Cricetulus griseus: one gene and its partners. The protein of the gene in region 5 purifies or fractionates together with the protein of the main gene of each other region. This does not show direct contact. Links are inferred from orthologs where the notes say so. Each region holds a gene or a part of one and is shown on either strand. Other genes may lie near its edges.

Evidence for each region.
Region 1: the proteins of squamous cell carcinoma antigen recognized by T-cells 3 (region 5) and Prpf4 purify together in Homo sapiens (affinity purification with mass spectrometry; 5 studies listed by BioGRID and IntAct, counting the BioPlex papers as one, with this or other methods). This does not show direct contact. The link is inferred for Cricetulus griseus from reciprocal best matches to the Homo sapiens genes SART3 and PRPF4.
Region 2: the proteins of squamous cell carcinoma antigen recognized by T-cells 3 (region 5) and Tut1 purify together in Homo sapiens (co-immunoprecipitation; 4 studies listed by BioGRID and IntAct, counting the BioPlex papers as one, with this or other methods). This does not show direct contact. The link is inferred for Cricetulus griseus from reciprocal best matches to the Homo sapiens genes SART3 and TUT1.
Region 3: the proteins of squamous cell carcinoma antigen recognized by T-cells 3 (region 5) and Snrpb purify together in Homo sapiens (co-immunoprecipitation; 4 studies listed by BioGRID and IntAct, with this or other methods). This does not show direct contact. The link is inferred for Cricetulus griseus from reciprocal best matches to the Homo sapiens genes SART3 and SNRPB.
Region 4: the proteins of squamous cell carcinoma antigen recognized by T-cells 3 (region 5) and Ppih purify together in Homo sapiens (affinity purification with mass spectrometry; 3 studies listed by BioGRID and IntAct, with this or other methods). This does not show direct contact. The link is inferred for Cricetulus griseus from reciprocal best matches to the Homo sapiens genes SART3 and PPIH.
Region 6: the proteins of squamous cell carcinoma antigen recognized by T-cells 3 (region 5) and Prpf3 purify together in Homo sapiens (affinity purification with mass spectrometry; 5 studies listed by BioGRID and IntAct, counting the BioPlex papers as one, with this or other methods). This does not show direct contact. The link is inferred for Cricetulus griseus from reciprocal best matches to the Homo sapiens genes SART3 and PRPF3.
Region 7: the proteins of squamous cell carcinoma antigen recognized by T-cells 3 (region 5) and Prpf31 purify together in Homo sapiens (affinity purification with mass spectrometry; 6 studies listed by BioGRID and IntAct, counting the BioPlex papers as one, with this or other methods). This does not show direct contact. The link is inferred for Cricetulus griseus from reciprocal best matches to the Homo sapiens genes SART3 and PRPF31.

The regions. Positions count from the first base shown.
Region 1 is NC_048595.1:83,460,714-83,464,737, forward strand, and holds the start of Prpf4 (U4/U6 small nuclear ribonucleoprotein Prp4), read right to left. Parts: upstream 2,801-4,024; 5' UTR 2,665-2,800; coding exon 2,638-2,664; intron 1,969-2,637; coding exon 1,791-1,968; intron 1-1,790. UniProt on the Homo sapiens protein: Plays a role in pre-mRNA splicing as component of the U4/U6-U5 tri-snRNP complex that is involved in spliceosome assembly, and as component of the precatalytic spliceosome (spliceosome B complex).
Region 2 is NC_048596.1:51,140,779-51,144,982, reverse strand, and holds the start of Tut1 (speckle targeted PIP5K1A-regulated poly(A) polymerase), read left to right. Parts: upstream 1-1,404; 5' UTR 1,405-1,513; coding exon 1,514-1,595; intron 1,596-2,783; coding exon 2,784-2,974; intron 2,975-4,204. UniProt on the Homo sapiens protein: Poly(A) polymerase that creates the 3'-poly(A) tail of specific pre-mRNAs. Localizes to nuclear speckles together with PIP5K1A and mediates polyadenylation of a select set of mRNAs, such as HMOX1.
Region 3 is NC_048599.1:48,439,467-48,443,610, reverse strand, and holds the start of Snrpb (small nuclear ribonucleoprotein-associated proteins B and B'), read right to left. Parts: upstream 2,801-4,144; 5' UTR 2,654-2,800; coding exon 2,651-2,653; intron 570-2,650; coding exon 418-569; intron 1-417. UniProt on the Homo sapiens protein: Plays a role in pre-mRNA splicing as a core component of the spliceosomal U1, U2, U4 and U5 small nuclear ribonucleoproteins (snRNPs), the building blocks of the spliceosome.
Region 4 is NC_048595.1:32,848,356-32,852,467, reverse strand, and holds the start of Ppih (peptidyl-prolyl cis-trans isomerase H), read right to left. Parts: upstream 2,801-4,112; 5' UTR 2,732-2,800; coding exon 2,666-2,731; intron 2,507-2,665; coding exon 2,442-2,506; intron 2,124-2,441; coding exon 2,100-2,123; intron 1,842-2,099; coding exon 1,797-1,841; intron 749-1,796; coding exon 706-748; intron 1-705. UniProt on the Homo sapiens protein: PPIase that catalyzes the cis-trans isomerization of proline imidic peptide bonds in oligopeptides and may therefore assist protein folding. Participates in pre-mRNA splicing.
Region 5 is NC_048597.1:93,400,529-93,404,028, forward strand, and holds part of squamous cell carcinoma antigen recognized by T-cells 3, read right to left. Parts: intron 3,351-3,500; coding exon 3,195-3,350; intron 1,764-3,194; coding exon 1,625-1,763; intron 1,130-1,624; coding exon 1,022-1,129; intron 1-1,021. UniProt on the Homo sapiens protein: U6 snRNP-binding protein that functions as a recycling factor of the splicing machinery. Promotes the initial reassembly of U4 and U6 snRNPs following their ejection from the spliceosome during its maturation.
Region 6 is NW_023276806.1:60,654,367-60,657,866, forward strand, and holds part of Prpf3 (U4/U6 small nuclear ribonucleoprotein Prp3), read left to right. Parts: intron 1-2,183; exon of another isoform or gene 2,184-2,184; coding exon 2,185-2,315; intron 2,316-3,500. UniProt on the Homo sapiens protein: Plays a role in pre-mRNA splicing as component of the U4/U6-U5 tri-snRNP complex that is involved in spliceosome assembly, and as component of the precatalytic spliceosome (spliceosome B complex).
Region 7 is NC_048602.1:21,549,712-21,553,211, reverse strand, and holds part of Prpf31 (U4/U6 small nuclear ribonucleoprotein Prp31), read right to left. Parts: intron 3,355-3,500; coding exon 3,271-3,354; intron 2,708-3,270; coding exon 2,610-2,707; intron 1,888-2,609; coding exon 1,781-1,887; intron 1,516-1,780; coding exon 1,346-1,515; intron 1-1,345. UniProt on the Homo sapiens protein: Involved in pre-mRNA splicing as component of the spliceosome. Required for the assembly of the U4/U5/U6 tri-snRNP complex, one of the building blocks of the spliceosome.

The DNA of each region.
Region 1 (4,024 bases), on a different chromosome or scaffold from region 5:
TAAATATGTCTGAAGTGTAAATCCAATTAATCTTAATCAATAAAACCCAGGAGCCAGATAGTGGGGTAAAAGCTGGAAGATCAGAGAACTAGCAGTCCCCTTCCTCTGTCCAAAAGGGCTCAGATCTTGTCTCTACTCCACCTTATTACAGCCTGTCTCCACCTCCTGAGTGGTGTGTAGACAGGATCAGCTCAAGCTATGCAACCTAGGATGCTCCCTGTCCTTGTGACCTTCCTGCCTTCAGGACATGAGTGCTAGGATGACAGGTGTGTGCCATCATGCCAGGCAAGTACTCATCACTAAACTTTACCTTTCTGTGCTAATCTAATTGCTTATGACAAATATGCATAACTTTATTTTTAAAATATAAAACTCTTAAGCTGGGCATGGTGGCTCCCATCTGTTATTCAGTACAAGGAGGGCACAGTAGAAAGACTGCCACAACTTCTAGGCCAGCTTGAGCTATAGTGGAGATCTTGTCTCAAAAACCAAAATTAATCAATACATTTCTTGACGGTAATATAAAGAGACAAACCTCAACAGTATACAAGGGAAAAAATGTAGGCTATAAAACAATTTACACATCATGGTACCATTTATAGAAGAAATACATCCAATTCACAATATAGATTTTCTACCTCATAGAGACACATGTTGATTTTTTAAAATCTTTTAAAATTACTGTCCCTTCATACTAAAAAACATTATTTTAATCTAGGTTTGAAAAAAAAATATAACTAGAAAGCTGGGCAATGGTGGTGCACGCCTTTAATCCCAGCATTCAGGAGCAGTCCAGGGCTACACAGAGAAACCCTGTCTTGAAAGGTAAAGACACAAAGAAACAAACTAGAAAAGTAAAGGAGAGAATACTATAAACAGCTTGAGTCATGCATCAATGCCAGAACTACTCTACATCTCCCAAAGACAAATACAACTGATGAATCAAAACACCCACTGAAGTTTTCAAAGATCATCAGTAACTTGTATCAGGAACTGTATGAAATATAAGAAAAACACGCTCTGGATAATGCCAAGAAGCGAAAGCCAAAGACTCCATGGTAAGAACAGAAGAGTACGGATGTGTGCATGAGCAGATGTGGAAGTCAATGTTTCCTCAACATTGGGATTACCACCACATTCAGTTTTAAAAAATTTAATTATGTACTTTATATATGATGCTCTATCTGCATGTATGCCTGCATGTCAGAAGGCATCAAACCCTTTATAGATGGTTATGAGCTGCCATGTAGTTGCTGGGAATTGAACTCAGGACCTCTGGAAGAGCAGCTAGTGCTCTAAACCACTGAGCCATCTCTCCAGCCCCTTTTTGTTATTTTGCCTTGTTTTTTTCAGAGATGAGGACTAACCCTTGTGCTTGCTGGGCAAGTGCTCAACCACTGAGCTAAAGCTCCAACCCCTCAGCCCTGTCCCCCAAACAAAACATGGTTCCAGGGAATCAATCTCAAGCCCTAATGGTTGCACAGCAAACCTTTTGTCACCTGAAGTAGACCCCCAGGCCAAGAATCGAAGGTTTTGACCCTATAAATCTTAATGTTACTTGGTCTGGGAAGGTGTTCATCTGAAAATTGGATCATTAAAGGTGCAGGGCAGTGTAGACGTGGTTCTAGTACCCGGGAGGAGGCAGAAGGCAGTTCAAAGGCAACTGACTAGCCAAATGTGTGGTTCAGTGGTGGAACACTTGCCTAGCATGCAAAAAAACCCTGTGTTGGAGTCCCTGGCAGTTAAAAAAAAAAAAAAAAAGTAAAGATGATTCACAATTTGGGTCTTACCGGAGGTTATATTAATATTTCCAGCTTCAATGCCTGCTTTGAGTCCTTCTTTTCCCAAAATCCCAGACTCTCCTTTGGCCAGACGTTCCCTCTCTTTCTCTTCCAAGCTTCCATAATAGATGTGTGGTTTCTTCACAACAGGAGCAACTAAATCATCAGGTGCTTTAGTTTTAGTTGCCTGTTAAATCAAAGACCCTGGTTAAGGTCCTAGTAAACCATGCTTCCCAAACGAATGAAACTAACGCTTTCATTTTATTTTCTCCAAAAGCTAAAGGACAAGGTGGGTATCCGTCAAGATTGATTTTGTGCGAGTTTAGACTCTCGTTAAGTTTGGCAGACAAATACAACGAATCAATTTCTGTTTGAAGTATCTGGTTTGCTTTGGGGCCCTTTTACTTTATTTTATTTGAAATGCAATCTCCGGTTTTACAAAAATAACTGCCCATCACTGGACAAATACCAAGAATAACCTAAACAATCAGGGTGGCTTTCGGTGCACCACGTTACTGGAATACACATTTCAAATACTTCCAGAGCGGATTAGAAGTTGGGAGGCCTCATCGTTAAGTCCCGAGTCATACAGTTTAAGTCAAGACATGTCTCCACTTCTAAGCACCGTGTTTTGGAGCAGTTAGAGACAGTGTTCACCGCTCGGGGCTGAAGTGAGAGTGGTGCAAAAAGAGCTGTAGCACACGAAAGCGTTTAGAAGTCAGGAAAAGGCTGCTCCACACTAGGGTCCCTCAGCCTTCCTCCTCCGCCCTGACCCTCGAGGTAACGGCCCCTTCCCGCGGGGACCCCGCCCTCTCTGGGAGAGGACCGGCCTGAGCTGCGATCCGGAGCCCCGTACCGTGGAAGAGGCTCGTGAGGAGGCCATGCTGGGCTCTGGAGCCTCGAGGCCCTAACCAAATCCGCGCTCTCCTTTTCAGACCGTCCACCGCGCGCCCAGCAAAGTGGAAGTGCGTCACTGGCCGGAAACGTACCAGGAGCGTACTCTGTGCTCTGGTAGTCGCGAAGTATCTTGGTCGTCGTAGTTGCCCAACGTCGGCTGGCGTCGAGGGGCGTGGCCTCATAGAGCGTCTCCACAAGCTCGCGGGAGAAGAGGCGTGTGGGAAGAGAGGCTCAGAGCAGCCTGGGAAGTGTAGTTCGGGCAGGACAGCAATGGCTTCATGGTGGGAGTTGAGGTTCTGGGAAGCTGCAGAGGCCTGAAAAGAGGTAGGTTCGTGGATCTCGACTGTAATCATGAGCGAACCGAGGGTCTCTGCTCTCCTTCGGGAGACCTTCCGTCATCTCGCAGCCGAGGGCTGTGTTGCCATGGAAATCTCTCCCTAGACTAGTGCAGCTTAGGAGCTGGGAAAGCGGACTGTTGTCCACGTCGGCACGGAAGTCTTCCCGGGGGCCCCTCGTAACTGCGTGGCTTCGCAGTGACTTTGGGCTTCAAGAAGACATTAAACTCGAAGAGTCTTCTAGGACTAAAATAAAGACGTGGCGGGGGAGCTGCGGCCTACTTTGTTGTTGGGTTACTTGTCTACAACCGTATTCTTTGTATGTGGTCTTTGAGATAAAGGGGCCAGGGAGGCGCCAGGGAGAGTGCATACCAGCAGCTCTCGCTCCACTGATGCTAGGCCATCGGAGATAAGGTTTTCTTTTTATCCTTACATGAAGATTGTGGGGATTGCCAAAATATTCGTGTTTGCTGAACTGGACAGACTCACTCCCACTCTTAAGCCTCTTCCCCAAACAAATGCAATCATAGGGACACTTTCTCTTCGAATGCTTTGCTTACTAAATGCTAAATTATGCGCAAGGAGCATATTCTATTTTAGTCATTCAAGTCACGAGACAACAGAGTACATAAAATAAATAATTGTGAGAAATGAAGCTAACCCGTCGTTCTGGAGCCATAGTGTAGTAGGATTACTAAAGTAGCGGGTGGAGAGCAGTTCTTTTAACCCGCACTCAATATCGCCCTCTAGTGTTGAGGCTTTCAGTGTGTACACAAGTAGAAAACTTTTCTTCTAATTATTTCTTCCTTTTTCTTTGGAGCTGGATTCCTCTTCCATTTCTTTACTTAGGGATCTGGTAGAAGGTGGTAGCTGATTTAGAATAAAATAATTTGAAATGTCATGGGCCAGTGTTTTGTATTGATTATATCAACCCCTGGTTGTGCTAAGCCTCCTGAGAAAAAGATAAATGTTTCTTCATTTGTATACATCATAGTTTTTTGTCCCATACGA
Region 2 (4,204 bases), on a different chromosome or scaffold from region 5:
CTGCACAGATGGGGGTTAGAATGTCTTCCTGTTAGCCACTTTTACTCTCCCTCCTTTTTGGTGCTGAGAAATTGATCCCAGGGTCTGGCGTATGCTACTCACGTGCTCTACTATTGCCACCACCTACATCCTCAGCCCTTCACTTTCATTTAAGCATTCTAGCAGCCAGGGTCAGATGCATCTCACCAGGTGGGGGTGGTTGACACATACCTTTAATCTCAGCACTTGGGAGTCAGAGGCAGGCAGATCTCTTAAATTCAAGGCCAATTTGATCTACAGTAGAAGGAGTTCCAGGAGAGCCAGGGCTACACAAAGAAGCCCTGTCTTGAAAACAAAGATGCATTTCACTTTAGTGTTTGTGGGTGTGGTACTGCAGTACTTTACAGTTCAAGCTTAGTGGTATATATATACAGACTGCTGGATTTGTACAGCTAGTGTTAGCACCTACCCCCACTGTTGAGTGTGCAGTAGTACTGTTTTCTGTTTTGATTTCATCTGCTTTTTTGGTTTGGTGTAAGGATCAGATACCTGAGCAGGGTACAATAGGAGGGACACCTTAGAACAGTTGGTTAGTTCAACCAATTCTCCTTAGGCACTTTAGAGATAGAAGGGCCTCATGGCTCAGCCAAGGCCACAGACTGGTTTCCTGATAATCACAGAACAAGCTGGTGAACCCACCTGATAGCCTTTCCATTTCATTATCGTCACTGTGGTCAGCTCTCATATCCTCTCTTGTTCCTGAACCTACGAGACTGACTCATGTGCCTGACTGGGGATCTGTAGCACTTCCCCTCCCACCTCCTTGAATAAATGTGTATCTCTTAGCACTGTAGTCTGTTCTTCATTGTACTGCCTTGAAATAGGCCTCGTTAATATACTTCATTAAGGCTACAACTGCTGAGCAGACTTTGACTGGGATAGTAGCCATCTGCTGTTGGTCTCATTGAGTCCAAGTGAAAGGGAGTAGGGGGCGGACAGCGCTGAAAACTGTTTTGTCGAGGATCCAGTTGTACAGAAAGGAACTGACCTGAGGATGTGGGAGTACCTGAGCTCCACAAGGCAAAGGATTGGAAACACCCACCCTCCGCTTCTACTCGCAGGGTGAAATAAAAGATTGAGGTGCAGGTCTGGGGTGAAGTGAAGGCAGATCGCATGCCACCACTTGGCAAAGAAAGAGCTGTGCTGTCAAGAAGCAAGCCCATCTTTGTGGCTGCTTAATGAATATTCACAATTCTTCGGGCCAATCAACGCTGGAATGGAACGGAGCATGCCAACTAGTTAACCCTAGACCAATAAGCGTCGTCGGTGGGCGGCCTTTCTTAAAACTGACTTAATAGGAACCCTTAACCCTAAGAACACGGTTTCTGGACGAATATGCTGGCGCCGGACACAAGCGTCACTTCCTGCAGCACTGGCGGAAGTGGCTTCCCCACACATTGCGATTTTGAGCTGTGAGTTCTGGTAGTGACTGGTGGCGGGAGAGGTTGTAGGCGGCCCATACCGGAGAATCGCTATGGAGGCGGAGGATTCGGATGTCGTATCGCTGCCTCGTGGTCGCTTTCGCTGCTGTCTCTGCGACATTACTACAGCCAACCGTAAGCGGTGGCTAGTGAGGGAAGGGGGAGGTTGCAGGCTTTCACTTTTTAGGTGCTAGTGAAAGAGTTATTTAGGTTATAGTTTTTGCTGGCACTAGGGTCATCCACCTCTGTTTTCACTCAGTACGTCCCAGGGCATTCGGAGAGTGGGGAAATTCTCACCGGTTCTTCTCACAATGCAAAAGCTCCATAGTGAAACTTTCACTATTCCTTTTAAAACATCACCTTTGTGATGTTTTAAACATCACATGTTTTAAAACATCAGCTCTGTGCCTGGTGCTTTACTGGTCTCTGGAATCAGGAAGGGAGGGATTCAGGAATTCACTGTCTGCACTGAGACAGTTTCAGTACACCATGGGTATGTTTACAGAGCTGAAGCATCACAGAGAAGGCAGTAGTTCAATTGGAGACTCCCAATGGGGAGGATTTCTCCAGAGGCGAGGATGAGTGAAACATGGTGGCCTGAGTGAATGCAGAAGGTGCCAGTGAGGAAAAGGGTTTGGAAAGACAGACTGAGATTTTGTGACACCAAAAGACACTTAGTGACATCTCAGATCCTACTTTTGATGTCTAGAATGTGATCTCCCCTAAACAGGGTCTTCTGGTATTTTCTTTGTGAATGACATTTCCCCTTCTCCCCTCCCCCTGCCCCATCAGGGCAAGCCAGGAATTTAGGACAGTGCCTTGTCCCTGTACTTTCATGGCACTAAGCAGCTGATGATAAAATAATACTAATAGCTAATTTCCCACACTTACTACATACCAGATGGCCAGAGCTGTTTGTGAATGATACCTATGTGGTAGGCGAGATCATTTCCATCATATATGGGAAAAGGATACATTTGGAATACCTGCTATTTATCTCTGAGGATTAGTCAGGGCCCTAATTTATTTACTTCTACATATGACCTTGGACAAGTTGCTTGTTAATTCCTCTACAGTGGGCAGATGTCGCTCTGCTTAACACATACCATTGGCTTAAGAACTACCTGCACTGCAGCCCTCCCTCTTGGAAATCTCTTAGAGAATGCACTGTGTGGACAAAGGGGAAGAATATCAAACTCTGTCCAAATGTTACCCTTTGTCTTTGAAGGAACAGGGTTTCTATGTATAGAGAAGAGAGCAAGGGGACAGGTATACAAAGAGTTACTTTATATGCTTATGTCACACGCACACTTGTCTCTACAGGACCCAGCCTAGATGCCCACTTGAAAGGCCGGAAACACCGGGATCTTGTACAACTACGAGCTACCAGAAGGGCCCAGGGACTTCGAAGTGTGTTTGTCAGTGGCTTTCCCAGGGATGTGGGTGCTGCTCAGCTTTCGGAGTATTTCCAGACTTTTGGCCCTGTGGCCAATGTTGTCATGGACAAGGACAAGGTAGAGTGAGTGTCTTTGGGATTAATTTGTCAGATGGATTTGCCTTATATAAAAGAGAGAAACCAGCAGCCTGTTTTGGCAGTTTCCTAATGTGGCTCATCCTTGGTAGACATTTCAGAACTTGGAATAGCTTAGTTTTGGGAGCTTCTGCCACCTTGGATTTAATCCATTCACAAGAGTTAATTATGGAGGACTTGTTTACCAAACATTGTGTCTTTTTTGTTTGTTTTTTTCGAGACAGGGTTTCTCTGTATTGCTTTGGAACCTGTCCTAGAACTCGCTCTGTAGACCAGGCTGACCTGGGATTCACAGAGATACACCTGCCTCTGCCTCTTGAGTGCTGGAGTTAAAGGCTTGGCCAAGGCTCGTGGGGGCTGGAGAGATGGCTCAGCGGTTAAGAGCACTGACTGCTCTTCCAGAGGTCCTGAGTTAAATTCCCAGCAACCACATGGTGGCTCACAACCACCTTGAATGAGATCTGGTACCCCCTGTTGGCATGCGGGCAGAAGACTGTATACTAAATAAAAAAAAAAAATAGTAAAAAAAAAAAGGCTTGGCCAAGGCTCTTGACCTATTGCCTGCTAACTGCCATCCCTCCCCCCCCCCTTTTTTTTTTTTCCTTCAGTTCTAGGGGATTGCACATGGGACTTTTGAATGCTAGGAAAGTGGCCTCTGTCTATCTCCAAACCATCCTCATAGCCTTTATCAATCACTTCTTGTGTACTGGTGAGACAACTGCAATTGTGTGTATATGATATGACATAAAAGTCCACATTGTTTTGCTTATGACTGTCCAGTTGTCCTAGCATCATTTATCTATAAGCCCGCTCTTTCCTCACTATTATGTTGAAAAGTAGTTGACTATATGTACACAGTGTTCTGCCTGCGTGTATGTCTGCATGCCAAAAGAGGGCACCAGATCTCATTGTGAGCTACCATGTGGTTGCTGGGAATTGAATTCAGGACCTCTGTAAGAGCAGCCAGTGCTCTTAACCTCTCGGCCATCTCTCCAGCCTGGCACTATTTTCTTAATTACTTTATAGACTGCCTTTTTATAGGAACAGATGATATAAAAGGACATGCACTTTTACCCATAAGCACTCATGTTTGCCTTGCTCCTGCTAATGTTTTACCTTAAAAAAAAAATTATCTCACTGGCAGTTGTGGCACAGGCCTTTAATCCCAGCACTCGGGAGGCAGAGGCAGGCCTGGTCTGCAAAGCTACACAGA
Region 3 (4,144 bases), on a different chromosome or scaffold from region 5:
CCCTGAAGAGGGTCAGAGGCTTCTTAAAGCAGTTTCAGACCAGGCTGCAATAGGAGAGCCCTTTAGGCTACAGCTTTACAAATAGGTAATGAGGCCAGAAAATCAAGCTCTCCCCCCTCACACACCTGTGGGGAGAACATGAGAGCCCTTTACCCCAGTACCCAGGGGCATGCAAACTCAGAAAAATTAAAAGCCTAGCAGCCCTCCTCACCAACTTCTACTTTGCTAGAATTGGAGAGCAAGGTTTTCTGGATTAAGGAAGAGATTCCTTAGCAGCTAACATTCCCCTTTAAGTTTCTCCCTTCAAAAGCAAGTGAGCAAACAAGAGCACCTAGCTGAATGGCCATCCCACTCTTGGCCCGCCCATCCATCCAGTCCATCCCAGTTCCTTCTCCCTCCCAACAGCCCTCTCCTTACTTGATCTTCCTGAATTCATCACAGTCACAGAGGATCAAATTCATATGCTTGTCAAAAGCTTTGAAGGTCCCGATGAAGATCCGGCCATCTTGCAGGATGCACCTCATCCTGTAGTCAATGTGCTGCAGCATCTTGCTGCTCTTACCCACAGTCTGCAAGGAGAGAGCAGGGAGCAGTGAGGACTCACTCACACACTTCTGCTCTTACCCACAGTCTGCAAGGAGGGAGCAGGGAGGACTCACTCACACACTTCTGCTCTTACCCACAGTCTGCAAAGAGGGAGCAGGGAGGACTCGCTCACACACTTCTGCTCCCCGCCCCCATCTTCCACCACAGCCTACTTTTCTATTCCCAACCTTCTCAACAATTTCCTGACATCTTCCAAACAAGGTCCTTTTCTGAGACTCTTATCAACCAGCTTTAGCCTTGATTTCTGCCCATTAATGTGCTATTTTCCCTGCCCTTAAAACAGGCAATCTCCCTGGGACTACAACTTTGTCTATGTTGTATCTGTCTCAGGAGAGTTAAAGTGTTCACAAACTAATCAAATCCACCCATACTAGACCTAGTGGGCATTAAGCCATCCACCACTATATAGACTCAGTTCTACGAACAACTAAATCCATCTAAACTAAGAACTGGAATTCAACAGGCACTAAGTGGATTCACTTAATTAAGGAAAAGCTTATTACCAGAAAGTGAAACCAGCTCTGAAGCAAGAACAGGAGTAGGGTAACTTGGGCAACTTTTCTGGGCCAGAGTGCTAATTAGTTTGGATACTTAATAGTCTAATATATATATATAATATAATAGTCTAATTTTTAATTAAGGCAAACAACATTCTCTATCCTGGTTCCCAATGTAACTTTGCAAAAATAAAGGCGCTTATACACACCCCTAGGTGAACAGAGGTATCTGTGGTAGTCTCTCTCAGAAACGTATCAGTTACCCACAACTATAACTGGCATTATGTCACTTTTAACTACCCAAGTTGTCTTCTCTGTACCAGGAACGCTGTTCACCCCTGTGAGCATTACCCAGCCCTAACCTGAAAACCAGATTTTGTATTTTTTTCTGCTTAAATAATCATCTCAAAGAGCTCTGTTACTAGGATCGGCGTATATCGGTCCAATAGCTAATATTTAATAGCTATGTATGGCTAGGCCCTTGAAAAGGATTTATCTCCTTTAATCCTCAAAACTGGGTCCACTGTCATTCCTTTTTACTGACCAAATAGACGACCCAAGCTGAAGGTTAAGTAAGGACTTGTCTCAGTCAACTCTCAAAAACAATAACCTATTTTCGCTACCTCGGGTTTCTTCAGCTACTTAACTAGACTAATATTTTTGGAGACATTCGAGGCATTTGTTACATTTGCTCTGTAGCCAAAACTGGCTTCAAAATTCAAGCTCCTCTGCCTACTATGCACAGAAATTACAAATTTCGAGCACTGGCCACTTTTCCCGGCTGACCTTTCTAAACCTAAGTCCATGAAGCCTGTGAAAACTCTTCCAGCGATGTCTTACTACCAAGAGGGAAAACAAGATGCAGGGACTTCAGCAACCAGGTTCCTGACAATTCGTTGCCTTCTACTGGGCCCTCTCGGTTCTCCAGATTTCTAACCCTCCCTCGTACAGGGGAGCGGGGCGCTCCTAAACAATCACTTGGGCGTCTGCTCTGGACCCGTCCCGCCCCTCCCCCTGCCGTTACTTTTTTGCCTAAAGCCGAACTGCCATAGAGAATCACATTAGCCCTGCACAGAGCCAGAAACTGAACCAACGCACAACTTATTTCAGGGTGCAGCCCCAGCGCCTGACATACCCCAACATAAAAATACGCGTAGCAGGGTCGCGCTCTGCATGCAAACACTCTCCTCCACCCTCCCGCTCCCTCCGCCTCTCCTCCGTCCGGCCCGGTGTCCCCCGGTCGGCCGGAGGCTCGCGTCCGCTCCGGGAGCCCGGGCACACAGCGACCCGGCACACGTTTCCAGCTACCGAGGCCGCGGAACTGTAACCGCAGAGGCGCCGGGCCACGCACGGCGGCCTCGGTCCCCGGTGCAGCCTTCCCCTCCACCCGGGCCCAGCCGCTCCGCAAGTCCAGGCCTTTGGCGCCCGGATTAAGCGGCTTCGACCCCGACCTTGTCGGCCACGGGCGGCTTCAACCCACGGCCGCCGCCAGCCACCGCCCCACTCCGCACCCCTGAGCGCCCCGCGGCCAGCCCGCGCCTTCTTACCATGGTGGCGGCTCCGATGTCTCAGATGCCCGCCGGATTCGCTTCCACAGAGGCCTAGTCGCCAGCCAGCAGCGCGATTCCCGCCGCCGCTAACGGAAATGCAGCCCGCAAAGTGCCGCCCCTCGTGAGGCTACTTCCGGCTCGGCCTCCGCCCCGGAGTTCCGGGCCCTGGTAGCAGTTTAGGGCGTGGAAAGGTGTTGACTGCGGCCGGTTTGTTTGGGGTTTTGTTTTTGTTTTGATTTTTTTGGTGTGTGTGGTTTTGGTTTTTTTTTTTTTTCTTCGTTTTAATTTTATCGAGCTCTCCCTCTCGTTTTGTTTTGTTTTAGAGACTGTGTCGCCCAGGCTGGTCTTAAGCTCCGATCCTCCTACCTATAGCATCCTTAGTACCGACGCGGGCGTACACCATCATATTTGGTAATAAACATCAAACTGAACGCCCTTGAAAGCATTGGATCCTCGTTGGACACACACCTTCCCAACTTAGTCTCCGCGAGGGTGGCGTGTTTCTCTCCCCGGAACCCCTCCCCTACTCCAGTTCTTGAACCCAGCGCTCTCGTGAACTCACTCACAGAACTCACTCTTACTGATTTTCCCCTAAGGCTTGAAATGTTCTTTCATCTGTACCTTTGCATTTGCTTTTGTCTCGCCCTTTCCTCTTCATGTTTAGACTGAAATAACACTGTCCTGGTGAGGACTTCCCTGATCGTCCTTTCTCTTTATAGATAGGTAGGTAGGTAGATAGATAGATAGATAGATAGATAGATAGATAGATAGATAGATAGATAGATAAGAAACGAGTCCTTCCCATTTTTTGTCTTTAATATTGATTGCTATCTGACATGCTAAGCGGTAGTCCCCTCATTGTTGGAGGGGTTACCTTCCAAGACTCCCAGTACCTTCTCCGAGTCACAGTACCAAACCCTGAATATGCTGTATTTTTTCTACATATGTATACTTCAGTGAACTTGTGCTTTTCCACTTAAAGAAAGCATATTTGGGTACCTTTGAATTGCCGGCATCACTAATTAAGTGCTTTAGGACTATTAACAAAACAAGGACCACCTGAACACAAACACTGCAACGCAGGTCAGTTGATCTGATGATCCCTCTAGCTACCGAGAGGGTAGCGTATGCAGTGTGGAAACCTACACAAAGGGAAGATTTGTGGTTAGGGCAAAAATATGGTATTTCCTCATGCTAGTCACAATGGTGCATGACTTAGAACATTAAATGCTTAGTTCTAGAATTTTCCATTTAATATTTTCAGACCTATAGACTGGGATAAGAGATGATTACTGTCTATATTCTTAAGTTATTTTATTACCCCATTAGAATGTAAGCTCCACTAGAGTATAGTGTTTTATTTGCTTAGATCACTGCTTAGCATAAAGGCTCAATAATTATTTGCTGAATGAATTAATCTTATTCTGCTCAGTGACTTCTAACTGTTGTTTATATGCCCAGGAGTTTGTAATTTATTCCTCTAACCTTGTT
Region 4 (4,112 bases), on a different chromosome or scaffold from region 5:
CCTTGGGCTACCTCAGCAAGCAGAGCAAACACCCTTTGAATTGCCTGCCTCTCCTGACCCCTTGCCACTAACTGGCTTGTGGTTATCAGCCAGGTGGTGGTGGCGCACGCCTTTAATCACAGCACTCGGGAAGCAGAGGCAGGCGGATCTTTTTGAGTTCGAGACCAACCTAGTCTTATGAGAGTTAGTTCCAGGCAAGCCTCCAAAACCACAGAAAAACCTTGTCTTGAGAAACAAAAAACAAAACAAAACAAAAACCAAAATAAAACAAAAAAACCCCTCAGCTTTCAAAAGGAAAAAAGACAGACCACAAAAACAAACAAAAAACTACAATTTTAGAGAGGGACACCAGAAGTGGAAGGAAAAATAGGGCATACAAGCAGTTGGCTCACTTCCTGTGGGGGAGGGGGGCTGCAGCTAATTTCAAAGTTTTCTGTGGTCAAAGAATGTGGTCTTAGATCATCTGTCTATAGGTAGACTAGCAAAGTCCAATTTTTGGTAACAAAAAAGCTCAGGTTTGGACAATGGGAGTTAATGATTCAAGTTTAGTATTGGTATATGTTCTAAGGGCACAGTCAGCAGTACCAGCAATTCTACAGTGCATCCCCTAGTCCATGCTCTCTCCATTTAACTTAGCTATTATTCTTAAATCTCAAGACTGGAGCCCTATAGGAAGAATAGCAAAGAAAAAACAGCAGTACTTACATTAACAAAATCTCCACCCTGAATCATGAAATCCTTTATGACCCTGAAACAGAGTAAAAACAAAACAAACAAAAAATTCCCGAGGGAAGGATTCAGTGGTTTGGTCACCAACATAGCAGCTTAGTAATTTTTTCTGAAGTACAATGTTTATCACCGTGGCTTAGAGACTGAGTCTTCACCCCTGGAGTTGAGCAAGATGAGGGATTACGAACCATAACTTGTTTTAAGCTCCAGGGGCATCTTTGTGTTGATCTAAGGTATATGAGTGAGCACCTGAACAACAGAAAAGGGCTGAAACCTGTCAGGAAGAAATAACATATTTACAAAAAAAAAAAAAAAAAAAAAAAAAAAAAAAAGTCAAGGGCTTAATGAAAATCTGGGGGGAAAGAAAGAACAACAGCAAATATATGTGAAATGGACTGCCACACACACACAGGGTAATGTAAGCTGTTATATACCCAGGCATAGTCCTTTCTTAGCCCCAGTTTCCTTCCTTAAAGAAGGCAGATTACACATACTACCTCACAAGGATGCTGGGAAGGATTAAAGACCATAATTCTAAAGCCCCTGATATGGATGACACAAAAATTTCAGGATTAAAGTGGAACAACTTCTGTCAAACCCTAACAAAAATTGGTAAACACAGAAAGCAAGGCATTCAAGAAGGTCAGGTTCCTGCAGATGACTGCCTGATAATAGTAATTATTACCAAAGCCTCTACCTGGAACCAGGGGGATGGTTCAGTGGGTAAAGTCCTTGTTAATGAGGCATGAGGACCTGAGTTCAGATCCCTAGAACCCACATAAAAGCTGGGTATAGAAGCCTATGGAACTGCACCTGCACCCAACTGATAGTGTTTTCCTTGCCATCATTTCTACATCTAGGATGACTTACGGTGCCTGTGGTGCTGAGTATTGAACCCAGGGTCTCAGGTATGCTGGGAAAATTCTCTACCACCAAGCTACATCCTCAGCCCTGGACATGACACTTTAAACAACAAACCTAATCTACCATAGGTGTACTCAGGTGTTCAGGATTGCCTGCACAGATACCAAGTGATGACTGCATTAACAGTTTGCCAAAAGCCTTACCTATGGAAGGTGCTTCCTTTGTATCCTATTGGAACACCATCTTTTCTGTAACCAAAAAGAAAGACTTGGAGTGATGACAAATAACCATGGGTCCTTTCCGTTTGGGACACACTGGAGGCTAAAAGGACTCTCAGAAAGATTTGGATAGAAGCAAGCTAAAGAACGCATCGATAAAGAAGACACCCTCTGAATATCATCTTCCACCACTCAAGACTTGCCCATGGTTCCCCAATACCCTCACCAAACCTCCAGGACACCCTTCAGGAGTAGGAGGAATAGAGGTCAAACACATCTGAGACTGACCTGAACTCTCCAGTGCAGAATTGCCTAAAAGGAAAGAAACAATGAACAGTTACCATGCCATCGCTGCCCGGAGCATCTCTAATATCGGGAGATGAGGGTACAAACAGTGGGGCCAGCAAGTCCACTAACTGGTCGGCCGGATGTCAGGGCATGCAGCCATGTAAACTAATATCACAAATTGACACAGGAACGGTCAAACCCGGTAGCTATTCGGCCAGTGCAATAATACACAGAGCACAGAGCACAAGGCAGTGGACGGATGGACAGAGGCAGACATTGCAAAGAGCGCCCCGAGGCCGGCTTCGGGCTCAGCCACGCTGATTCAGTGGAGCATCTCCTCACCTGAAGTTCTCTGCCGTCTTAGGCACCACGTCTGCAAACAGCTCGATCTTCATGCGACCAACCTCCTGCAAGTGACGGGAGACGCAAGAAGGCTCAGTCCACGACCGCAGCCCACGCAGCTCGGAAGCGCCCACCTCGGCCGCCCTGGCCCAGCCAGTCTCGGCTGCCTCCCTCACCCGTGTCCTGCCCAGCCGCGCAGGTCCGCCGGGCCTCCCGCACCTCACCTGGCCGCCGATGCTGACATCAAAGAAGACCACCGGATTGACTGGACTTGAATTTGCCACCGCCATGGCTCTGACCCGGAAGTAGAAGTCCAGTTTCCGGGGACCGGCCTTGCTGAATTCAGCCAAAGCACAGGGGCCGTGGAAACCGACCGGGGTTGGGCCCCGCCCCCGGAAGCGCGGCGCGGACCGCCGGGAAGGCGGACACTGGTGTTGTAGAGCGGGTCGGTTCTGAGGGAAGGCGGGGATGAGGGGAGAAGGCGCAGAAGCGAGGGAGTGCAGGCATCTTCGCCGAAGGCGGCGGGCTCCCTACTCGCGTGACTGTACTAGTGCAGTACAAATGAGTGACCGGCAGACAGCATTTGCTGAGCCGTCACACTGGGTGTCCCCTGCCCCCGAGGCGGCACCCACGAGGGGAGAACCCTCAGAATCACCCTCCGTGTTGTAAAATGTTACGTAGGCTGGCTCATTCGGGATCCTGGAAATGTGATTTCATTTCTGTCGCAAGCTTCCAACTCATTTCCCACAGAGTTGCAGTTTAAGAAACAACCTTTGTGCTTGTAAATCGTGTGTGGGGGATTTGCATATTTAACGTAAATCCAGCTGTGTATACGAAGGCCCGAATGCCATTTATTTGCCACCGCTGGTAGCGAAGACCTGAAAGTAGAGACCTCACACTACCTAGCCTCATCTCCTGCCTACCACTCTTTACCCTTTCTGGCTCGGTTGTGGAGACGTTAGATTGCTACGTCCTTTAAGGCCTTGATTCGAGTTTTGTCTCTTCTAAAATATTTTTTTTTCACCTTAAATGTTTTTGAGACAGTCTTGCTGCTTATCAAGGGCTGGCTTTGAGCTCAACGATATTCCTACCTCAGCGTCCCAAATGCTGGGATTACCTACATGGTTTGCCATATCCTTTTGGAACTGGCGTTGAACAGATGGTTCAGGAGGATCAGGGCATCCCAGCACCCATGCGACAAACTGGGTATCCTGCATGTTATTCTTTTGTTTAAAAAGAAGAAAAGAGAAATATTGAGACAGACATATTGACTATAAGTTTATTATAAGGCCCGGTAGAATGGGGAGACTAAGAAGAGGAACAGGGTAATGGCTGACCGCCATGGCCGGTCGCCATAGAGAGAGAGAGCGGGGAAACAGAGAAACGGGGAGAGAGAGACAGACAGAGCGTAAAGGTGCAGGGGCCTATCTTTTAAAGGGGTCCTCTGCACCTGCGTGCAGACTTCTTTCCCATGGAACCTTGGGCTGACCAGGGTATTGCCTGAGTGGATTCCACCAGGTAATGGGCAGGCCAGCATAATGCCTGACCCTTTCATTCCCACCTCTACTTATTATTAAAAAAGCTGTAATCTCAGCTTCAAGGAGGGTGGAGACAGGATGTTCACGGGCTAGCTGAGAAAATGTGAACCCCCAGGTTCAGGGGAGAGCCTCT
Region 5 (3,500 bases):
AATAAGTATCTAAAAAAAAAAAAAAAAAGAGTATGGCAGTCTTGTTGGAAAAAAGATCTGGGGCTTGTGGTGGTCAGTGTCAACTCCACAGAACCTAGAATCAGCAGGAAAAAGGGCCCCTGGACCTGCCTGTGATGGGTAAACTCGGCTACATTCATTGAGGTGGAAGGCCATCCCACTGTGGGTGGCGTGGTCCCAACTGGGGTCCTGGGCTGTGTGATGGACAGGGCACACACAGCATCTACTCTACTCTCTTCTCTCAAAGTCCTGTGGTGGCTGCTCTAAGCTCCTCAACCCTGAATGCCCAACTTGCTGGCCTGTGCCTTCTCCCCTGAGTGTTTGTCAGAACATTCATCACAGTAACAGAAAAGAAACTGAAACAGGGCTTATAACAGGTCAGACACAGAAAATGAGAGGTTACCGTGGCTACCAGGAACTAGCACAAGCACAAGAGCTGTCATCCTTTCCACACCACAGTGTGAATTCAGTTGGAAATTGCTAGTTTCCACAAAAAATGTTCTAAGGGCAGGTCATTCACCAACCCTTTCCCAATCTCAGCGTGCTTAAAGAACAGGGACATATCTCCAAGGATGTGCTCAGAAAAAGAATGGCAGCTGGAGGATGGGGGAGGATGATACAATCATAAGGTGCTTGCCATGCCAGCCTGAGGACATGATTCCCAGCACCCAAGTAAAAAGCCAGTGAGGCGACATGCCCCACTGCTAGGAAGGTGGAAACAAGCAGATCCCTGGTACTCACTGACAAACCAGCCAAGCTAAAGCTTAGCGTCAACCCATGACACACCCTGTCCCAAAAATCAGTGGATGACTCCCAAGGAACAGAACCCAAGGCTCATCTCTGACCTTCACACATGTACCTTCGAGAACACACATGTGCTTGTGCGTAGGCGCGCGCGCGCGCGCACACACACACACACACACACACACACACACACATGCACACACAGGGAGGTGGGGGGACATGATGACTAAGTCCAGTTCTGATGAGGCTCACACTCTACCTTGTCTGAAGTCAACCCTTCTCCTTAGGTAATCTAGGTACACCTGCCAAATCTCCACATAATCAGTGGCCTGGATAAAGCCAGCACTCAGAGCATTCTCAAAGGTTGCTGCAATGGAAAAAACACAATATTCACCAGACAATTCAAAAAGAAATAAAGCCATCAAAACCCATAAATATGTGGTTTATGCACTTATAAACGCACAAGCTGTAGATGTCTATCCCAGCATCACACATCAAGGAAGGAAAAGAATAGAAGCAGTGTTTGCAGGGTACACCCCTCCAGCCCTGTGCTCTAGGAGGAACTCTTCTTCCATAGTGAGAGTCCCAGTTGGACAAGACAGTTCGTGACTTCTAAGAAATTCACTGAGTATTAGAAGCTAAAGTGCTAAGAAGCCATATAGCCTTTGCCACTACAAGGCAGGCCCTGGGGTACTGGCTCAAGACTGTTACAGCTCTGTTCCTCACTTGGGACAAAAGGCTAGAGCTGCCAGGCATGATGGCTCATGCCTGTCATCCCAGCAAGCCTAGGCTCCACAGCGAGCTGCATAGAAAGAACATTCCAAAAAATAATTCAGAAATTCTCCCACACAAACATTCACACCAGATATCATTTGATGGTCCACTCCATGTCTCTCCATGGCCAAGAGGTACCGACTCCACAGGCCAACTGTCCACGGGCAGTTCCTCACAGCACGGCTGTGTACAGATAAAACCAAATCCTTTACTTTCAGCTGCCGATCCTGTGACAAAGAATCCCAGAGTGAGAGGACAGAATTGTACGACTTCCTCAGTGGTAGAGACTGAAACACCCTGCACAGGCTCAGGTTCCAACACCTGGTACCAGCTGCTGTTGGCACTGTTTTGGGAGGTTGTGAAACTTTGGGGAGGTAGGCTCTACCTGAGCAAGTGGGTCAGTGAGAGGTGAGAGCCTTGAGGATTATAACTCAACCCCACTCCTACCCTGTACCCCACTCTCCAATCCCTGACTGAAATCGCTGCTGCCAGAAGCATATCACCACATCCCCACACCGTCATCACCACAGCCCCACACCATCAAGGGCTGCATCCCCTCAGCCTCATCCCTTAAGCTGCCTCTGTCAAGTACTTGGTGGTGGATGAGAAAAGTGAGACACTCCCAGAACAGCCAACTGATGGAAGAGATTCCTTTGAAACATCTCTTGTAAAGCTAAGAATGCACAAGGTATGCCCTGTCATCCCAGCACTCAGGAGGCTATGCTGTGGAATATAGTTTAAGATGTGAGATGTGTTACATTCATTTATGCTGTGGAATATTTGTTCAATGATACAAAGTTGCATTGCATTCTTTTATGTTGCATTTGTTTAACTCTGTGAAGCTGTGTTACTGTGCCTGTCTAAAACACCTGATTGGTCTAATAAAAAGCTGAATGGCCAAAAGGCAGGTGACAGAGAAAAATAGGCAGAGTTGGCAGGCAGGAGAAATCTAGGCTTGAAGAGAAGAGGGAGGATTGAGAAAAGGAGGAGGCGAGGATGCCAAAAGCCAGCCACCCAGCCAGCCATGGAGTAAGAAGGAGGGAAAGACATATAGAGTAAAGAAAGGTAAAAAAAAAATAAAAATAAAAAAAGGCCAGAGGCAAAACTTAAAGAGAAACAGGATAATTTAAGTTAGAAAAGGTGGCTAAAAACAAGCCAAGCTAAGGCTGGGCATTTACACGTAAGAATAAGTCTCTGTGTATTTATTTGGGAGCTGGGAAGCCGCCCCCTCTACGCCTGGGGTAGGGTGGGGCCAACTACAAGTCTAAAGCAGGAGATTCACACATTTGAGACCTGTCTCAAAAGAAATGGAGACAAAAACATACATAAAAGAATGCCATGGCCTGACTTCTTCAAGGAAGAAATCACCAGAGGAATGCAAGATAGGCAGAGCGGGGGAGGTGGCAGTCCAAACTGTCCCACAGACACAACCCTGATGGATGAGCTTCACCCGGGCCCTTTCACACAGAAGGACATTTCATGTACACGCTGAGGCAGCAGTGAAGAACAACAGGGATGGGACAGTAGAGATACAACGAAGCCAGCCACACAGGCTGTGACTGCCGCTGAAAGCCAGCAGTGGTGTGTACGGGAGGCTTCACTTTAACCATCTCTTTCACGTCTAGCTTGGCAGACACAGAACTGAGGCACAATCTTACTAGGTACCGACTGTAGCGGATCCATAAGTCTGGGACCAGGCAGTTCTCCACCAAGGCGCGCTCGAAGATCAACTGAATACGAGCAGGATCTCCAATTTTCATCTCAAAATCGATGTACGCTTGGTATTCTGCCAGCCTTGGGGCCTCTGCTTGCAACTGGAGTGAGGAAAATCACACTCGTTAATCTGGATGCTTGACACTCTCAGAAATCATCTTCAAGTAATTCAGCGTTGGCAAGAGCAGATAACCCCAGATGAGAGCCACCAGGACTTCTTCCTCAGAACTGCCCACGACAGGACAAATTTG
Region 6 (3,500 bases), on a different chromosome or scaffold from region 5:
CTCCTAGAGATCCACATTCCTCTGCCTCCTGAGTGTTGGGGTTAAAGGTGTGTACTACCCTCCTTACTCCTTATTTATTTATTTGTTTGTTTATTTGTTTATAAGACAGGGTTCAGTGGTGCCCAGCCTGGCTTCCAAATCAGTATGTAGGGGAGGATGGCCTAAGATTTATGATTCTCTTTCCTCTACATCAGTGGTTCTCAACCTGTGGGTTTTGACCCCACAGGGGACACATAACAGCTGTGTCCTGCACATTATAATTCGTAACAGTAGCAAAATTGCACTTATGAAGTAGCAATGAAATAATTTTATGGTTAGAGTCACCACAACATGAGGACCTGTATTAAAGGAAGGTTGAGGACCACTACTCTACATCCGGAATCCTGGGATTATAAGCATGTATCACACCTGACTTTTGCAGTCCTGGAGATGGAGGAAACCAGAATCTAGACAAGCATTGTACCAACTGAGCCATACCCTCTCTCCTTATTTTCCCTCTGTTATAATGGGAAGAGCTTAAATAACCAATTTTTCTCTCTCTCTTTATTATTTGTGGCACGTTAATAAATCAGTCTTTGGCCACCATCCCAAGTCACCTAAATCAAGTTTGCTTAGGAAGCACTGTTCAGTCAAATAGCCTGATCCGATTGATGCCTTAGAGTGTGGAAGTCTAATAAGATGCATGAAAAGGTACAGGGAGGTGGGTTTGCTGGTAGTTGCCTTTGATTTGTTGTGTATGAAAAGTTTAAATGATGTGATATTTATCTTTTAGGGTGCTGGGGACCCAAGCCTTTGTGCCTATCAAGCAAAGTACTCTTCCAAAGAGCTACTTTCCCAGCCCTCATCTTAAACTTTGAATTTTAATTTAAGCAGATTTATCTGGCTCTACTACTTTGTGCTCCAAAAAAAATTAGAACCTTTTACCTCATATAGCAGGGTCATTAAGTATATCAGGAATTGGGAATTCCGAGAAGAAAACTATTTACTTAGTTATGAAGACAGGATTTCACTATTTAGCTCTAATTGGCCTCTGTCTCCTGAGTACTAGAACTAAAGACATAATGTGTCTGAAGCTATTTTATTTTATTTATTTATTTTTGGTTTTTTGAGATAGGCCTTCTCTGTGGCTTTGGAGGCTGTCCTGGAACTAGCTCTTGTAGACCAGGCTGGTCTTGAATTCCCAGAGATCCGCCTGCCTCAGCCTCTGCCTCTCAAGTGCTGGGGTTAAAGGCTTGAGCCACCAATGCCCACCAATGCCCGGCTTTTATTTTACTTTTTATGTGTGTGTTTCATTTACATTTATGTATACACCCCAGAAGTGTGCAGCTAGCTAGAAAGAGTTCAGTCCCCTAAAACTGGAGTTGCAGCATACAGTTGTGAGCTTCCATGTGGGTACTAGGAATCAAACTTAGGTTCCTGGAAAAGCAGCCAGTGCTTTTAATTGATAAAACACCTCTTGAGCCACTACAATTTTAAATTTGGGGGAGGGGTATGTGAGGGAAGATAAATTTATGTGTGTGTGAGGGAAGGTGCCCTCAGAGGCATTAGATCCCCCCGCCCCCCAGGTCATAGGCAGTTGTCAGCATCTCATTGTGGATTCTGCATAACAAACTTGGGCCCTCTGCAATAGCAGTATGTGCTCTTAACCATTTCTCTAGTCCTCTACAAAGAAGTTCTTAAAATGTTTTTTTACATGAGCTAGAGAGATGGCCCAGCGGTTAAGAGCACTGTCTGCTTTTGTGGCAGACCCAGGTTCAATTCCCAACACCTACATGTCAGCTCACAGCTGTCTTAATTCCAGTGCTGTCTACTGTCCTCCTTGGGCGTGCAGCATGTAGTGACATGAATAGTCAAAACATAAAATTACAGCCGGCTGTTGGTGGCTCATGCCTTTAATCCCAGCACTCAGGAGGCAGAGGCAGGTGGATCTGTTTGAGTTCGAGGCCAGCCTGGTCTCCAGAGTGAGTGCCTGATAGGCTCCAAAGCTACATAGAGAAACCCTGTCTCGAAAAACCAAATAAATAAATAAATAAATAAATAAATAAATAAATAAAATAACAATACCTTAAAGAAATGAAGAGTAAAACCTTTTTCCCTTTTATTCTAGTCTGTTGTTTATTACATGTTTGGTATTGAACTGTATACTTTTACCTCTTCAATCTGTGGCTTCTTTTTTCCTGTCAGATCACCTGAAACCTTTTCTTGATGATTCTACTCTCCGATTTGTGGATAAGCTGTTTGAGGCTGTGGAGGAAGGTCGAAGCTCTAGACATTCCAAGTCTAGCAGTGACAGAAGCAGAAAACGAGAACTAAAGGTAGGTTACGGTCACTATATAATAATAAGCTCAGGAGTGTTTGGAATAAGAAATGTGCTGGCATACCTGCTTACACTTTGACATCTACTATTAGAACACCTAGTGTGAGGGCTACGGTTAAAATTCAGTAATAGAGAGCTTAGTGCTTGTCCAGCATGCATGAGGTTCTGGGCTCAATCCCAGTACTGCAACAAATAGAGTTAAAAACAACAACAAAATAGAACACCCAGTGTTCAAGAGGGAGCCTCAGACATTAAAGTAGAAGGGTAGGATTTATATTATCTCCATCACCCTGAACCTTTCTCAAAAAGGTTCATTTAAAATAGTCCAAGGAAGTAATTGATAGCTTGTCCTTTCTTTATTCATACATTTTATTTTCACCATTCCCTCTTTACCTACTACCTATAAATTGATTGATCTAAGAATCTTGGTCTACTTAAAGTCTAGTAAGTTGATTCATCATATCTCCACTGCTTCCTGACTGTGGACCTTAGTCTTGTTCATTAATAAAGATTTCTATTTAATATACTTGTAGATAAGATGCCTGAAACTAACTGCCATATAGTCCACATTTGTTGTATGTGGTTACTGGCTCCATGAGTGGGATGTGTGAAAGAGTTAGAAATACTCCCTTTTCTGCTAAGTACTTATTTTGTGGTTACAGTATAGTCATGGTCTTTTTATATATGATCTTATCTCAGTTCCCCAATGTAGCCCATTTCTCTGTCTGACTTTCTTTTGCCTCTTTTGGGTTTTTGGTTGGTTTGTTCTGAGATAGGGTCTTACTATATAGCTAGCTCTGCCTGTCTTGGACTGTGATTCTCTGAGTGCTAGGGTTACAAGTGTGTACCACCATGATCAGCTTGTTTTTGTCTTTAATATGTTTTCTTTTGTTTATGGATTTTTTTAAAGATTCATTTAAAATTTTTATTTATGTATGTGTATACACACAGATGACCATAAAGGTCAGAAGAGGGTGTCAAATCCCTTGGGGCTTGAATTACAGGTAGTTTTGAGCAACCATATATATACGTGCTAGGAACCACACTAGTCCTTGGAAGAGCCATACTCACTCTTAACCTCTTAATTATCCCTCCAGCCCTTGTTTTGGGTTTTTGAGACAAGATCTTGCCACCAAGCCCAGGCTGCCCTCAAACTCAGGTTCTGACCCAGCCTCCTGAGTGC
Region 7 (3,500 bases), on a different chromosome or scaffold from region 5:
TTCTGCAGCACCACACCTGCCTGCTGCCATGCTCCCTGCTACCAAGCCATGATGACCACGATAATAGCTTTTGCCTCTAAAAGTGTCAGCAAGCCCCAGGTTGGGTTGGTTAAGTGCTTTCTTCCAGAAGAGTTACCTTGACCATGGTGTCTCTTCACAGTGTAGAACGGTGACTAAGACAATTTTGCACCTTCATTCGTTTGCTGGTTTGAGACAGTATTCTGTAGCTCAGGACCTCAAATTCAAAGCAATCCTCCTGCCTCAGCCTTCTAAACACTGGGATTACTGGTCTAAGCCACTTCGTCTGGAAGGCTACAGGATCATTTATGTGTATGTGTGTGTATGGGGGCAGGTTACTGTAGGGAGACACCGTAACCACGCCCTTCAGGATGTGGTCAAGGTGATGTCAGGGTGGTTTTAAAGGGACAGACAAGGCACATGGGAGCTCTCTCGCCTTGCTGCTTTGGCACCCTCTGGCTTGCTGTTGGTTGGCGTTTATCTATTAAAAGTTATCCTAACCTTCTGGATTCAGTATCAGTTATTCACCGCTTTAGGTTATTTTTATATGTGTGTGTGCATGAAAGCAGAGGACACTTATGGGACTAGCTCTCTCCACCTTCGTGTGGGTTAAGAGGATCACACTCAGGCTGTCAGGCTTGGGTGGCAAGGACTTTTCCCTGCTGGGCCATCTTTCTGGCCCAGGTCATAGAATCTTTAAGGAGAGGGCAAAGATAAGATGAGGTCATACGGATCCCGATTCTATCTGACTGGCATCCTTGTGAGGAAGGGAGATGAGGCTGCAGATACAGCAGCATGGCTGCATGAAAATACAGAAGGCATGCCCGAGCCAAGCAGAGGCTGAGGGAGAAACCAACCCCAAAAGCACCTTGGTCTCAGACTTGTCAACTCTGAAACAGCACCCTCGGGAGTGTAAGTGTCCTGGCCTGTAGTCCTCAAGACCACAGCTAAGGGACCAAAGGTGGTGGCTTCCCCACATTCCCTTTGTGAGCGAGCATTCCCTGCAAGGAAGGACTCCGGCTACCGGAGCTTCTGGGAGGAGGAACTTAGCACATGACAGGATTGCTGCCCTATCCAGTAGGAAAGCCCGAGGGTCAGGAGCTGACTTTACTACTCTGTGGATGCCCCAGGGTCCAAAATGGACCCATTGGCGGGAGGAGGCTCCTTCTTCAGCCAGCTGTACTCAGAAGGGGCTGCTACACTTTTATCATTTGCTATGCCAAGCTGGCTGACTTCAGTCTCCAGATGACAGTGTAATAGAGCCCCTAATGTCAAGCCCCACTTCCCCAGGACAACCCCAGACCATGGGACCCAGCTGGGAACTCACCCATGATCTTGGCAGCTGTGGATGCCCCAATGATGATGGACAGGTTGGGTGCGATGAACGACATCCGGGACTCCACGTACTCGTAGATGCGGTGCTTGGAAGCATTCAGCTCCAGGGCCATGTCACAGGCCTCCTCCAGGCGCTCCAGCTCCTCATCCGACAGCTGCTGCCTGAGTTGGGAAGCAGGGAAGGGTTGGGGCCGGCGCCCAGTTCTGCTGCGCGCTTGTCTAACGGGTGTCCAGCCCCACCCATCCTCTCGGTTCTGTATGCGTGTGTGTCTGTGTAACTCTGGGGCTACCCCAACTTCTATCAGCCTAGGGACCACAGCTCTCAGCCAGCACCACCCTCACCATCAACCCCATTCTGCCCTTTCTGGTCTCTGCTGCCAGCTGGCCTATGGTAGGCTTGCAGCGCCTTACCGCGTGGTATACGTACCCCTGGGTGGTGGATGCGGTGACACTGACGACCATGATGGTAGCATTGGTCAGGATTTGCTGGAGGTTCTCATTGTTCTTGCACTTGTCCAGGCTGTTGCCCAGCTCCTGGGGTGGGAAGGGGAGAAAGAGAGAGACCGTAGTAACTCCCAGAAGATTCTAGAAGCTCTTTTGCTTCAACACGAACACAGGGCTCCCTTGAGGAACCCGGGAAAGCTAATACTGGAGACCTCTCTTGCCTCTTACAGGTTGACAACTTCACTGCTGAAAGCATCAGCACTGCCTGCTCTGCTGACCCAGAAGTGGAAGCTGGGCAAAGTGGCCTTCAAGGACGACACGCTGCACTAAAGAAGCCTGCGGGAGCTCACGACTAGAGACGGACTTCCTCGGCTCCCACCCTGACCTCCTGGACAGAGGCAGGACCCCTGCTCTTTCCCCTCTGCCTGCTCCTGTCATTGCTCCCAGGGGAGCCCAAACCTTCTGTGTGTGATGTGCTCTGACCTTTCTGACCTGTCAAGCTCCCCTCCCTGCCTCTTCTCACTTCCTCCTCATTTGTTCCCACTCAGGATCTCAGCTCTTATCTCGCTGCGGCCTCTGCCAGCCTTCAGAGGCTAGTTCAAAGGACACCTGACCCAATGACAGCCAGAGGCAAGGGCCAGGCCAATGGGGATCCTCCCACAAGCTAAGGGGAGGAGAGAAGCCAGAGGTGTGTGTGAGACACCCTGTCCGGCACCTGTCCCTTCCCACTGAGCCCCGGCTCACGCCTCTCCATCGTTTTCTAGATCCCGAGGCTTCACGCTGCTTCCGGGACCAGACTCCTCCCCACTCACCTTGACTGTGCGGATGTAATCCAGAGCGTTGGGAACCAAGGATTCTAGCTCCGGGAATCTCTTCGAGTACTTATCCCGGATGAACTTATGGATAATGTCTAAAGTGGACAGGGAGGGTGGGTGTCCGCTGAGGGAGGGGGAGGCAGACTCTGCTGCTATCCCCAACACCCACTTCCGCCTCTCTAGTGAACAAGCCCAAATCTTGGGTTGGTGCATGGATGCCAGCATGAAATCTACATTTCCTAGCTGTCCCCAGGGCTATGTGCAGGCATGAAGTCTGTTCTAATGTCTACAAGATGTGAACTCAATTGGCATTTTCCACATCCAGACCATGGCCTTAAGGAAGCAGCCATGCCCTGTCTTCCCTCCCCATTTGCTGGTAGGGACGTGAAATGAGGCAATCACCCTGGAGCATGAAACCAGTGGCAGAGTCTGGTGGCTGAAGGGGTCAAAGGGTGACTCTAGACCTGCTCTGTTTACTTAGACTTTCAGGAAGGAGAATACACTTTCTCTTCATGTAAATCAGTCTGTTACAGAAGGTAAACCTGGTCAGGGCAGTAGTCGAAGAAAGGCAAACAGAAGAGGTCCAGGTTCATGCCTATTCTTCCCTTTGCGTCATAAAGAGGGAAGGGCACACAACAGGGCTGTCCCCATCACTCACTCAGCTCGTTTTCTATCTCCACGGTCAGGTTGTTGGCATCCACAATGACTCGGTACTCGGGGGCTGCCTCCACTGGTCCCATCACTAGGAAGGGGAAGAAGGAATGTGGATGAGAGAGGGCACCCACCCGTCTGTAAGTCACAGAGCTAGGGAAGACTGGAGCTGAAGCTGGCTGGATCAGAAAGGAGGGGCTGAAGCATGCACTAGGGACTTGGAAACCTCCCCAGCAT